Saccharomyces cerevisiae S288C: one gene and its partner. Changing the gene in region 1 together with any one later gene gives a genetic interaction. Each region holds a gene or a part of one and is shown on either strand. Other genes may lie near its edges.

Region 1 (5,829 bases):
AATCAAGAGCCAAAGTAGAAAATAGATTATCCCAATTAGAAGGTAGAGATTTAAGAACTACTCCAAAGGTTGTTCGTGAGGCTAAGAAGGTGGAAATGACTGAAGCTAGGGCCTACAATGCAGATGCTGATACCGCAAAGGCTGCTTCTGATTCTGAATCCGATTCTGATGATGAAGAGGAAGAAAAGAAAGAAAAGAAAGAAAAGAAGAGAAAGAGAGACGATGATGAAGATTCCAAGGATTCTAAAAAAGCTAAGAAGGAAAAGAAGGACAAGAAGGAAAAGAAGGAAAAGAAGGAAAAGAAGGAGAAGAAAGAGAAGAAAGAGAAGAAGGAAAAGAAGTCCAAGAAAGAGAAGAAAGAGAAGAAATAAGGATGCATTTTACATTTTAATAATTAGTGACCCCTCGCGTTCCCTTTTATTTGGATTTAGAAAATTTTCTATAATTATCCAATGCTTAACCTATTTCTCATTTCATATTTTATTCCATAATCTGTAAATTAGTGCTGTACGCCCATATTGAATTGAACTTATTATTTTTTTTAGGTGATATATTTGAAATAGTATACATAATTTATGTTTACATAGTTTTAGGTACTTTATATCATTAAAAGTTTTGTTTAACCTTTAAAAAATTTGTACCATTAGCAGTTATAGGTATTCATATCGTGAACTGCGCAACTTAAAATTATTCGCGGGACGAAAAAGATATACAAAATTTTTGAAAGTGAGCAAAGGATGAGATGGTGCAATCGTTACTATTTGATATTAATAAAAAGGCAATCATCACATCAACCCTTAATTAATTTATGAACAAAACGGAAAACCTTTCTATTGAGGAGACAAATGAAATAAGGGAAAAGCTGGGTATGAAACCTATTCCAGTTTTTCAAGAAAAGAATACAGACCATAAAGAGTCTTTGTCAATCGAAGAGACGAATGAGTTGAGGGCGTCCCTTGGCCTAAAACTTATCCCACCCCAACAAAATTTCAATTCTTCTCCCCCTAATGTACATAACACATCCAAAATCGATGAACTTCGAGAGAAGATAACAAAGTTTCAAAAAAAGGCGAACGCTCCTTTACGAATGGCGCACCTTCTCGAAGAAACTAATGTAAATGACGACAGTTCATGGCTAGAAAACATGGATGCAATTCCTTCCTCACATGAATCCAAACGTTCCAGCACATTGCCAAGAAAAGGCGCCACGAAGGAAGACGAAAATATTGATCTGCATAATGTTCAAGTATCATATAATATCGAGGCGCTTAGCCCAAAGAAAGATACGATTCTAACTTTGAAAGAGAGCAGTATTTTTGATGATACTGATTCTACCGAAGTGTTAGAGAATGTGAAAGCTGCCGAGGAAAACGCTGATAGAGAGAAACTACGATTACGACAAATGAATAAAGATAGAAGACAAAAAAAAAAAATTTTAAATGTATCTAGCTTAGATATTGAAGAAGAAGAAGAAGGAGAGAAACACTCAATTACAACTACACATCTAATCATCGGAGCAGAACAGGGTGTTATGAAGGCACCGAATACTATATCAGCAAAACCACCAACGGGAAAAGTTAAAGTGAATTTCGATAGCGCAAATAATATGTCAGATGAAGATGGTGGAGACTTTAAACCTTTAAAAATTAAAAAACGTAAGATCAAGGACCCAAGATCTACTAAAGCTAGGAAGTCAAAAATTACTGATAAGATGGAAATTGTTAAGTTAGTAGATGAAGATGAAAGTTTATCCTGGATGGAAGAAGAACAGCCAGTCACCATAATAAATCCCAGAACAAGCTCAAACAATGAATTGAAAGGGCCAGAGGACCTCGCTAGAGAAATTGAAAAGGCAAGAGACGAAGAGAAGCGACGCACTGAAAGCATTTTGAAAATGCGTGAAATTTCCAACAGTATTGTCGTCGACGAAAAGGTAACTTTTTTAAATACTTTGGATACCAGTCTCTCCGAACGAAGTGCTACTGAGAATAAAGTGAAAGTGCATGGTGAAGGAGAGAAAAATATCGGAGATGTTACCAATGGACATACTAAGGAAGGGAGTGGAAACAATACACTGACTGAAGCAGTTAATAATGAACCAAACTACGAGGGAGATGCTGAAAATGCACCGAACTTTTTTTCTGGTCTTGCATCAACACTAGGATATCTTCGGAAAAAGAGTGTTTTCACCACAGGAGACGTCGATTTGAAACCAGGAAAGGATGTTAATAATAGTGAATCACTTCGAAGGGATGTCCGAAATAAAGAGCATACGGGCACTGGCACTTATACAAAAGATAAGCTACACGGACTGGAACAATTCACATCTAGTGACTCTTCCAATGCAAATACTCATTCAAAAAGACAAGATCATTATGATCCTGACATAAAACTGGTTTACAGAGACGAAAAGGGAAATCGACTGACTACTAAGGAGGCATATAAAAAACTGTCACAGAAATTTCATGGTACAAAAAGCAACAAGAAAAAGAGAGCAAAAATGAAATCCAGAATTGAAGCAAGGAAAAATACCCCTGAAAATGGTAGTTTGTTTGAATTTGATGACAATTAACCTAATCAGCAAATTCTACTAGCCCCAGCTTTTAATATTCAATATCTTGTTTTTCTCAAGTTTGAAACCTGTGTATAATTGTATTTGGTGTATAAGGCTACGTGGTGGCCTTGAATTCGGAAGTACTTTTCAAACATTAATATTCTGTGATATACATTTGTAAAGACCTTTTGCGTTGTGCCTGAATCTCAAGCCATTGTGTCATTTCACAGCGAAGTGTCATTGTTTTAAGCGATAGAAGCTTGGCGCAACGATCGGATAAAAAAAATTGAAAAAAAAAAAAAATTGAAATGAAAATAAAAACAATCAGATATTCAAAAAATTGAATATCTGTATTCATAAAGAGGAGAAAAAAGAATAAAGAAAAAAAAGAAAAGAACATTAGACTACACGTGCAGCATATACCAACTATTTTTATTATATGCTTATATATGCAAAGCTTACGATATTTAGAGAGTAAGTGGATTGACGATAAAAGTGTTTAATAAGGAGCCATTCGTTTTTATAAAGGAGAAACAATACCGGCCTAACATGATTCAAACGCAAAGTACAGCGATCAAACGACGTAATTCTGTTCATAAAAACCTCTTTGATCCATCACTGTATCAAATACCAGAACCACCACGTGGGGGGTTCCAACACCAAAAAAAAGAATACAGTAAGGAGACATTCAGTAATCAAGTCTTTGGATATGATATTACTAGCCTTAAAAAAAGATTCACGCAACTATTTCCTAGTAATATACAAGGGTACTTACCTGAAGTTGACCTAAGAATAACCATTATTTGTTCTATATGGTACGTCACGTCATCTATTTCAAGTAACCTATCTAAAGCCATTTTAAGAACTTTCAACCATCCCATAGCTCTCACAGAATTGCAATTTCTTGTTAGTGCTGTTCTATGTGTTGGATTTGCTTCCATCGTAAATTTATTCCGACTACCTCGTTTGAAGCATACGAAGTTTTCAAAGGCACTCAATAGTTTCCCTGACGGTATCCTTCCTGAATATCTCGATGGCAATTTCAGGAGTTCTATCCTGCACAAGTTTTTAGTTCCCTCAAAGCTGGTTTTGATGACCACTTTCCCTATGGGAATATTCCAATTTATTGGTCATATCACATCGCACAAGGCGGTATCTATGATACCAGTATCACTAGTGCATTCCGTGAAGGCATTATCCCCAATAATAACAGTTGGCTACTATAAATTTTTCGAACATCGTTATTACAATTCCATGACTTATTATACCTTGTTACTTTTAATTTTTGGCGTTATGACTACTTGCTGGTCAACACATGGCAGTAAGAGGGCTTCAGATAACAAAAGCGGATCTTCATTAATCGGGTTGCTTTTTGCCTTTATTTCCATGATAATATTTGTAGCACAGAATATTTTTGCAAAGAATATTTTAACCATCAGAAGGAAGGTAGGAATACTGCCGTCTTCTTCTACGGATGACGTCACGTCGAAGGAAGGGCAACCGAGTCTAGACAAAACAAGATTTTCTCCATTGCAAGTGGATAAGATTACCATATTGTTCTACTGCTCCTGCATTGGGTTTTCTTTAACCCTATTACCTTTTTTAACCGGCGAATTAATGCATGGCGGTAGCGTTATCAACGATTTAACGCTAGAAACAGTAGCCCTTGTAGCGATTCATGGAATAGCCCATTTTTTCCAAGCAATGCTTGCTTTCCAGTTGATCGGTTTACTATCTTCCATTAATTATTCGGTAGCAAACATCATGAAGAGGATTGTTGTTATATCCGTGGCACTCTTTTGGGAAACAAAGTTAAATTTTTTTCAGGTGTTTGGTGTTATCTTGACAATTGCCGGATTGTACGGTTATGACAAATGGGGGCTTTCCAAAAAAGATGGACGTCAGGCATAATATGAAGTAATACTATTGAGTACAAACCATCATTCAAGGTAGGACACTTAGTACTATATCAAATATATAATCAAAAAAAAAACCCTCGAAGGTCTTTTTTATCTTATTTACTGCTACTACCTCTGTTGCTAGCATTACTTCAAGATCCTAAACTGTTACCCCACCCCCGCACCATATCAAGGTTAAAAATCCGATGTGGCGGTACTTATTTGGTTATTTATCTCATTTACATTAATATGCGTACGGGAATGGCCTTCCGCTCCGTGGAGGATAAAGTGCGGTCATTTTATTATTTTTCGAAAACAATGGCTACAATCCCTTGATTATCTCACATGCGATTACAAAGCAAAAGAGAAGATTCGCATGCAGGAGCCATACACGCGTCTTTTTTAAGGTATTTCCACGATCTCGCGGAAAAACTTATAGAACGAACAACTATTGCTTTAACTAGGAAAGAATAAGAAAAAATAGCGATCATACTAGAACCCACAGTCGAGGCACAAGGATTTTGAGGATTGCTCTACCCCTAATGCCTATTGCTTCGATTGCTGAAAGCGGATCTACTCCTTTTTCCAAGTACTCGAAAGGTTGAGAGAAATAAAAATAGACTAGTCGACGGACAATGCCAATAAAGTTTGGTTATACGAACTGCTTTAACCAAATTAATATTGGACAGACTCCGTGTTTTTTGGTTTTGCCCTTTTTTCCCGCTAGAACGACATTGTGTTTCTCCAAAATTATTCCATCTTTTCCCTCGTGTTAACAATAGAGTCACAACGCACCTGTTATTATGATCTCGGGGGTGGCTTCCCGAACATCGTCGGTTGAATACTGCGCTTTGGCGTCCGAAAAAGAAAAGATAGGAAAGGATCGAATTTTTGACATTTTTCTCAACCTGCTGCGCGCTGTTCTATAGACGTTTGAGGCACCTGAAAAAGAAATACAGCGGAATAATTACTGTTCTGCTGAATCGCCCTAGGCGGTATTGTATGAGGCTAATAATAGAGAGACATCTCTGAAAAGAAACTAGAGGAAAATTTTTCAAAAATATCTATTTTGCTCAGAGAAATGAATATAATAAAGAAGCTATTTGGTTAGATCTCCCAGTAGTTACGGGGACTAGATATATAAACTGCTTGATGTACGTTTGGAAATTCTCAAATAGCAATTCTCTCTTCAAAGTTAGTGAAGGATAGGTTATATCTGTAAAAACATACTAAGATCTGAATAACTAAGATCACGGGGGCATACTATCGATTAAAAAGCTCTGATTTTACTATAGATTAAAAAGAAAAATAATGAGCTCAGACAGTTTAACGCCTAAAGACACTATAGTTCCAGAAGAACAAACCAACCAACTGCGG
Region 2 (8,507 bases), on another chromosome or scaffold:
ATATATAAGTACGTGAGATCTATTTGTATAATATAATGCTAATAAAATAGTATCAACGATACTGTTGATAAAGGTAAGTCGATACCTGTTCCGTTCGCATCAAATACAAATGCCACTTATTTTGTAGAGGTATTAATGCATTATGTGAAAATTATGACTTTTTATCAAGCAAAATAAATTTGCTACTTGTGCCCTTTTTCTTTCTTTTTTTTTTTATTTGATATGCGTGCCTTTAGCATCCTCCAATTTGATAAAAGTCGGCTTGCTATTAGTCGCTGACAATAAGTTGTAATTGGTGTTAGCTTCATTTTTAATTTTTTTTGAGCCATACAAGCCATCGACATAGTAATTATTTGTAATCTTAGTCTCATAATCGAGTATGATTTTTTCAAAGCTCAATAACGCCTTCTTTAACGCATCGCCTACAGCCTCTTTTTTCGACCTGTTATAACATTCACCTCTCGAGGACAAAGTAATTCTACCTAGCCCACCACACTGTGTGTTGGTGCCATCCTTTAAGGTAACCTTTACTTGGGCTTCTGCCACAACTGTATACTTGACCTCACTAGTGTTGGTGTTTTCTCCATTATTTACTGCGGTGAAGGGCTGGCACTCCCGGGCCTCAACATCTATAACATCCATTCGCCAACCATCATACCCGAATGTTTCATTAGCGAACTGAATGAGAGCATGCCCTGGTATCAGCTTAGATAAGTTGTGCTTCCCATATTTATTATTGTGGTAAATATTGTACGTGTACCTTTCGATCTTGGACTGTAGAAGCCCAATCCTCTGCACCGACCAAGCGCTGGCAGGTCTTCCATTCCAATCTTCGATGATTTGGAACTCTTTTATATCCAAGCCCGGTGCTGTGCCGTATGTAGTCGAATCATACGATATGCTCGAACTGGGCTTCGCTTGTATCGTCATTATTTTGTCTGTTTATCCTGAAATATGCTCTTCTCCTCTACGTAACCCTTTAATGGTCCAAAGCATGTGCTAAACTGCCACAGACTCCCTCAATGATGTTCTTATCCTTCCTTGCCGTTACTGCTTCCTATCATATCTGCCCTTGCCAAACTGTGGCTTCCTCTAATCAATTTGCCCCAGTACATTGAAAAGCACGTGACGTGACACCAACTTGAAAGACATTAGTGTCCAACGCGATATAATGGTCAATAAAATACCCAATTTTATCAAGTGAACATGATATTATTCAATACTATAGTACTTTAAAGAAAACTTCAACAAGTTGCTTCATTGCTATATTATACAATTATGGGTGATGCCGGTCGGCTAACCTTTCTTTCGCAGCGCCACATACAAGAACATATGGTAATTACTAAGAACTTTTTGGAAACTATTTCCATGAAGAAAACAAAATTTACTGGCTTCTGTCTTCGAAGTAAATTTAGCGAACTTGATACTTTCGTTTGGACAGTCGTTTAGATTTGCAACTGTCTGTTCTTATTTCTTGCTATTATTACCAGAAATAAAGCCTAAAGCGCGTGGTTCTTACGAAAAAAATAGACCTTGCACATTAACAGGGTTTAGACATCACAGAGACTGAATACTGGAGAGAAGACAATTCTTGTTCACGACTTCGAGTGATTAATATCTATAACAACCCTCCTATCAAGAATGGACATCATTCAAGGACTGATACAGCAACCAAAAATTCAATCTGTGGATGAAACCATTCCGACGTTGTGCGATCGAGTTGAGAACTCCACTTTGATTAGCGATAGGAGATCCGCTGTGCTGGGATTAAAGGCATTTAGCCGGCAGTATAGAGAATCAGTGATTGCATCCGGGCTAAAACCGTTGCTCAATACTTTGAAACGTGATTATATGGATGAAGATTCGGTAAAGGCTATATTAGAAACAATTTTGATTCTTTTCATCAGAGGCGATGGCCATGACGACTTAACTAGAGGTTGGATTTCTCAACAATCGCGGTTGCAGAATGGCAAGTATCCCTCACCATTGGTGATGAAGCAAGAAAAGGAACAAGTAGATCAGTTCTCGTTATGGATTGCTGATGCTTTGACGCAGTCTGAAGATTTAATTCACCTACTTGTTGAATTTTGGGAAATCGATAATTTCCATATTAGATTGTACACAATTCAATTACTAGAGGCAGTGATGGCCACGAGGCCGTTGAAGGCGAGAAGTGCTTTGATTTCACTTCCAACGAGCATATCCACAATGGTCTCACTCCTAGATGACATGCATGAGCCCATCAGGGATGAAGCTATTTTATTATTAATGGCAGTAGTGAACGATTCACCTCACGTTCAAAAATTGGTTGCTTTTGAAAACATTTTTGAAAGGCTCTTTTCCATCATCGAAGAAGAAGGTGGGTTAAGAGGCTCTCTCGTCGTCAATGATTGTTTATCGTTGATCAATAACATCCTGAAGTATAACACTTCTAATCAAACTTTATTCCTTGAGACAGGAAACTTGCCAAAACTGGCACACCTTTTGAGTGAACCAATATCTCAAGATGAAGTTTTTTTTTGGAATGATCAAAGGATAGTTAATATCAATACAGCTTTAGATATCGTCAGCCTAACAGTAGAGCCAGGAAATACTGTCACCACTAAGCATCAAAATGCGTTGCTTGACTCAAGCGTATTAATGGTTGTGTTGCGACTTGCATTCTTTCATAATATCCCAAAAAAAGTTAGACCGGTTGCTCTTTTGACTGCCGCAAACATGGTTAGAAGTAATGAACATGCACAGCTAGAGTTTAGTAAGATCGATGTTCCATATTTCGATCCTTCATTACCTGTAAACTCTACTGCAAACGGTGGTCCAATTAAATTAATTCCTGTAGTCAGCATCTTGATAAATTGGATGCTCTATGCCAACTCCGTTCACACGTTTGATACAAGAGTTGCGTGTTCTAGACTATTAAAGGCTTATTTCATGGATAATTTTGATCTTCAAAGAGATTTTTTACTAAAACAAGTCCAATTGTGTAATAATTCAACAAATAATGTCGGCGACAATGCTAAAGAAAATGGTGGTTCTAACAAATCTGATAAAGAAAGTGATTCAGATAAAGATACCGACGGGAAGGATGGCACTGAATATGAAGGTTCTTTCAAGGCAAATCTATTCGAAGTCCTGTTAAATTATGACGCAGAATTGAATCTGAACCCTTTTAAATTATTCTTCACAACTGATATTTTTATGTTTTTTTTCCAACAGGATCACAAATATAGCGAAGAACTACGTGAAATAACAAGAAATGTTACCACCGGTAACGATCTCGAAGACGAAGAACCCTTAAAGGCAATTCAAACAATAAGTGAATTGCTAACTACTTCCCTTACTGCTGCTGACATAAGAATTCCTATTTCCTACTTAACGTTCCTAATATATTGGCTCTTTGGCGACTTTAAGGCCACGAACGATTTTCTTTCGGATAAATCCGTGATTAAATCCTTGCTTTCCTTCTCTTACCAAATTCAAGATGAAGACGTTACTATCAAATGCCTTGTAACAATGTTACTAGGTGTGGCATACGAGTTTTCCTCGAAAGAATCTCCATTCCCAAGAAAGGAATACTTCGAATTCATCACTAAAACTTTGGGAAAAGACAATTATGCTTCTCGAATCAAACAATTTAAAAAAGATTCATATTTCTCAAAAGTTGATATGAATGAAGACAGTATACTAACTCCGGAGCTTGATGAAACTGGTTTACCAAAAGTTTATTTCAGCACTTACTTCATACAGTTATTTAATGAAAACATATACAGGATCAGAACTGCATTGTCTCACGACCCTGACGAAGAGCCAATCAATAAAATATCTTTCGAAGAAGTCGAAAAATTACAGAGGCAATGTACAAAATTGAAGGGTGAGATAACTTCTTTGCAAACAGAAACGGAAAGCACCCATGAGAACCTCACCGAAAAATTGATTGCGTTGACTAATGAACACAAAGAGTTGGATGAGAAATACCAAATTTTGAATTCCTCACATTCTTCGTTGAAAGAAAACTTTTCCATTTTGGAAACTGAATTGAAGAACGTCAGAGATTCCTTGGATGAAATGACGCAACTGAGAGATGTACTGGAAACTAAGGACAAAGAAAATCAAACTGCTTTACTGGAGTACAAAAGCACAATCCACAAACAAGAAGACTCTATCAAAACTTTAGAAAAAGGACTTGAAACTATTTTGTCTCAAAAGAAAAAGGCAGAAGATGGTATAAACAAAATGGGTAAAGATTTATTCGCTCTGAGTAGAGAGATGCAAGCAGTTGAGGAGAATTGTAAAAATTTACAGAAGGAAAAAGATAAAAGCAATGTCAACCATCAGAAAGAGACTAAATCACTAAAAGAAGATATTGCGGCAAAAATTACTGAAATAAAAGCTATCAATGAAAATCTGGAAGAAATGAAAATTCAATGTAATAATTTATCAAAAGAAAAGGAACATATTTCGAAGGAACTTGTTGAGTACAAATCCCGCTTTCAGAGTCATGACAATCTAGTAGCGAAACTAACAGAAAAATTGAAATCCTTAGCAAATAACTATAAGGATATGCAAGCTGAAAATGAGTCTCTAATAAAAGCTGTAGAAGAGTCAAAAAACGAAAGCAGCATACAATTGTCTAATTTGCAAAATAAAATTGATTCTATGTCACAGGAAAAAGAAAATTTTCAAATAGAAAGAGGCAGTATAGAAAAAAATATCGAACAACTAAAAAAAACCATCTCTGACTTAGAACAAACGAAGGAGGAAATTATCTCAAAATCCGATTCTTCAAAAGATGAATATGAGTCCCAGATTAGTCTCTTGAAAGAAAAATTAGAAACGGCGACAACAGCAAACGATGAAAACGTGAATAAAATCTCAGAATTGACTAAAACTAGGGAAGAGCTGGAAGCCGAGTTAGCAGCTTATAAAAATCTCAAAAATGAACTTGAAACAAAACTAGAAACTTCAGAGAAAGCTTTGAAAGAAGTTAAAGAAAACGAGGAGCATTTAAAAGAAGAGAAAATTCAACTCGAGAAGGAGGCCACTGAAACCAAACAGCAACTCAACAGCCTACGTGCCAATTTAGAATCATTAGAAAAAGAGCATGAAGATTTAGCAGCTCAGTTGAAGAAGTACGAGGAGCAAATTGCCAACAAGGAAAGGCAATATAACGAGGAAATATCTCAATTAAATGATGAGATTACTTCCACTCAACAAGAAAATGAATCAATTAAGAAAAAAAATGACGAACTGGAGGGCGAAGTTAAAGCAATGAAGAGCACTTCAGAGGAACAATCAAATTTGAAAAAGTCAGAGATTGATGCCTTAAATTTGCAAATTAAAGAGCTGAAAAAGAAGAACGAAACGAACGAAGCCAGTTTATTGGAGTCAATCAAAAGTGTAGAATCAGAAACGGTAAAAATTAAAGAATTACAAGACGAATGTAACTTTAAAGAAAAGGAAGTTAGTGAATTGGAAGACAAACTCAAGGCCTCAGAAGATAAGAACTCTAAATATTTGGAGCTACAGAAGGAATCGGAGAAGATAAAAGAAGAACTAGATGCTAAAACGACTGAACTAAAAATTCAATTGGAAAAGATCACTAATTTATCTAAGGCCAAGGAGAAATCAGAATCTGAGTTGTCTAGATTGAAGAAGACATCTTCTGAGGAAAGAAAAAATGCAGAGGAGCAATTGGAAAAATTGAAAAATGAAATACAAATCAAAAATCAGGCCTTCGAAAAGGAAAGAAAGCTACTTAATGAAGGATCTTCAACAATTACACAAGAATATTCTGAAAAGATCAATACTTTGGAAGATGAATTAATTAGGCTACAAAATGAAAACGAATTAAAAGCCAAAGAGATCGATAATACGAGGAGTGAACTAGAGAAGGTTAGTTTAAGCAATGATGAGCTTTTAGAAGAGAAACAAAACACAATAAAAAGCTTACAAGATGAAATTCTTTCATATAAAGACAAAATAACTAGAAATGACGAAAAGCTTCTATCAATAGAGCGAGATAATAAACGAGACCTGGAGAGCTTGAAAGAACAACTCCGGGCTGCACAAGAATCCAAAGCTAAAGTTGAAGAAGGGCTGAAAAAACTTGAGGAAGAATCTTCAAAAGAGAAAGCAGAGCTTGAAAAGTCTAAAGAAATGATGAAAAAGCTAGAGAGTACGATTGAGAGCAATGAAACGGAGTTGAAATCCTCAATGGAAACCATAAGGAAATCAGATGAAAAATTAGAACAGTCGAAAAAAAGTGCTGAGGAGGATATTAAAAACTTGCAACATGAGAAGTCAGATTTGATATCCCGAATCAACGAATCTGAAAAGGATATTGAAGAACTGAAAAGTAAACTGAGGATCGAAGCAAAATCTGGCTCTGAACTAGAAACCGTAAAACAAGAGCTAAATAACGCACAAGAAAAAATAAGGATCAACGCAGAAGAAAATACAGTTTTGAAATCTAAATTAGAAGATATAGAACGTGAACTCAAAGACAAGCAAGCCGAAATAAAAAGTAATCAAGAAGAAAAAGAATTACTAACTTCGCGCCTCAAGGAATTAGAACAGGAATTAGATAGCACCCAACAGAAGGCACAAAAATCCGAGGAAGAACGTAGGGCCGAAGTCAGGAAGTTTCAAGTCGAAAAGTCTCAACTTGATGAAAAAGCCATGTTGCTTGAAACTAAATACAACGATTTGGTGAATAAAGAGCAAGCATGGAAAAGGGATGAAGATACTGTTAAAAAGACAACCGATTCTCAGAGACAAGAAATTGAAAAGTTGGCTAAAGAACTGGATAACTTGAAGGCAGAGAACTCTAAGTTGAAGGAAGCTAACGAAGATCGTTCGGAAATTGATGACTTGATGCTCTTGGTTACTGACCTAGATGAGAAAAACGCCAAATATCGCTCAAAGCTGAAGGATTTGGGCGTTGAAATTAGTTCGGATGAAGAGGATGATGAAGAAGATGATGAAGAAGACGAGGAAGAAGGGCAAGTGGCATGATAGAGTTAAAATATGTGCATAAACAAATCGCTTGAACGATCTGTTTGATTATGTGGGCAGCACTACTTTTTTGTAATTATATATGCATATATACATTTTACTGACACTAAATGTTATATTTTCTATAACATCTAACATTACTTCACGCCTTCTAATTAAAGTATAGTTTGTGCAAACAATATGTGAGCTCACGTAGACAATTGTCTAATATATCATTAATGTCCCTTGCATAGAACTTCCTTTTTTTTTCTCAGCGTCGCAATATCTCTGTCGAGAAACGCTTACGCATTATAATAAGCCAAGGAAAAATAGCGAAAAGCCGATGCAGATCTACAGGAGTGATGAAAGTACTAAAAAGATCAGAAAAGGGAATATTTGTCAAATAACCAAGTCGAAATGGAAAAAAAACATGTCACTGTGCAAATACAAAGTGCTCCCCCCTCCTATATCAAATTGGAAGCAAATGAAAAATTCGTATATATTACAAGTACAATGAACGGCTTATCTTATCAAATTGCGGCTATAGTTTCATACCCAGAAAAGAGAAATTCATCAACTGCAAATAAAGAAGATGGTAAATTACTGTGCAAGGAAAATAAACTAGCATTGTTACTACACGGAAGTCAATCTCACAAGAACGCTATTTATCAAACTTTACTAGCAAAAAGGCTGGCCGAATTCGGATATTGGGTACTAAGAATAGATTTTAGGGGCCAAGGTGATTCCTCAGATAACTGCGACCCTGGCCTTGGTAGGACGCTCGCTCAGGATCTTGAAGATTTGAGTACAGTATACCAAACAGTATCTGACAGGTCTCTTAGGGTGCAATTGTACAAAACTAGTACAATATCACTGGACGTGGTTGTGGCACATTCTAGAGGATCTCTTGCCATGTTCAAATTCTGTCTAAAATTACATGCAGCTGAATCTCCATTACCGTCTCACCTGATCAATTGCGCTGGAAGATATGATGGGAGAGGACTTATTGAACGCTGCACACGACTGCACCCGCATTGGCAAGCAGAAGGTGGGTTTTGGGCGAATGGTCCACGAAATGGCGAATACAAAGACTTTTGGATACCATTAAGTGAGACTTATAGTATCGCTGGCGTTTGCGTTCCGGAATTTGCCACGATACCACAAACTTGTTCAGTAATGTCCTGCTATGGCATGTGTGATCACATAGTGCCAATTAGCGCAGCCTCAAATTATGCAAGGCTTTTCGAGGGCAGACATTCATTGAAACTTATTGAAAATGCGGACCACAATTATTATGGCATTGAAGGTGATCCCAACGCGCTAGGCTTACCGATAAGGAGGGGTAGAGTCAACTACTCACCACTAGTAGTTGATCTAATTATGGAATACCTGCAAGATACATAGACCATACAACTACATATTAATCTAAGATAAGTCTTGTGCTGAGTTTGGTCACTTTGCGGGATCACCCGCATAAAGTCGTCGGCATTGCAGTTTAAGATCAAATAGAGGCA

Evidence for each region. Genes that interact genetically often act in the same process or in processes that back each other up.
Region 2: of SLY41 (region 1) and USO1, extra expression of one rescues a mutant of the other (dosage rescue), as found in Saccharomyces cerevisiae (2 studies listed by BioGRID).

Annotation. Positions count from the first base shown.
Region 1 is NC_001147.6:891,367-897,195, reverse strand, and holds SLY41 (Sly41p), read left to right. Parts: upstream 1-3,103; coding exon 3,104-4,465; downstream 4,466-5,829. Other genes in the region: RNA-processing protein NOP58, read left to right, coding at 1-371; U4/U6-U5 snRNP complex subunit SNU66, read left to right, coding at 809-2,572; MCH5 (riboflavin transporter), read left to right, coding at 5,764-5,829. UniProt on the Saccharomyces cerevisiae protein: Able to suppress the functional loss of YPT1. May form a channel. Protein SLY41 is not essential for cell viability. The SLY41 gene is a multicopy suppressor.
Region 2 is NC_001136.10:344,024-352,530, forward strand, and holds USO1 (Uso1p), read left to right. Parts: upstream 1-1,641; coding exon 1,642-7,014; downstream 7,015-8,507. Other genes in the region: RAD59 (Rad59p), read right to left, coding at 214-930; YDL057W (uncharacterized protein), read left to right, coding at 7,411-8,397. UniProt on the Saccharomyces cerevisiae protein: Required for protein transport from the ER to the Golgi complex.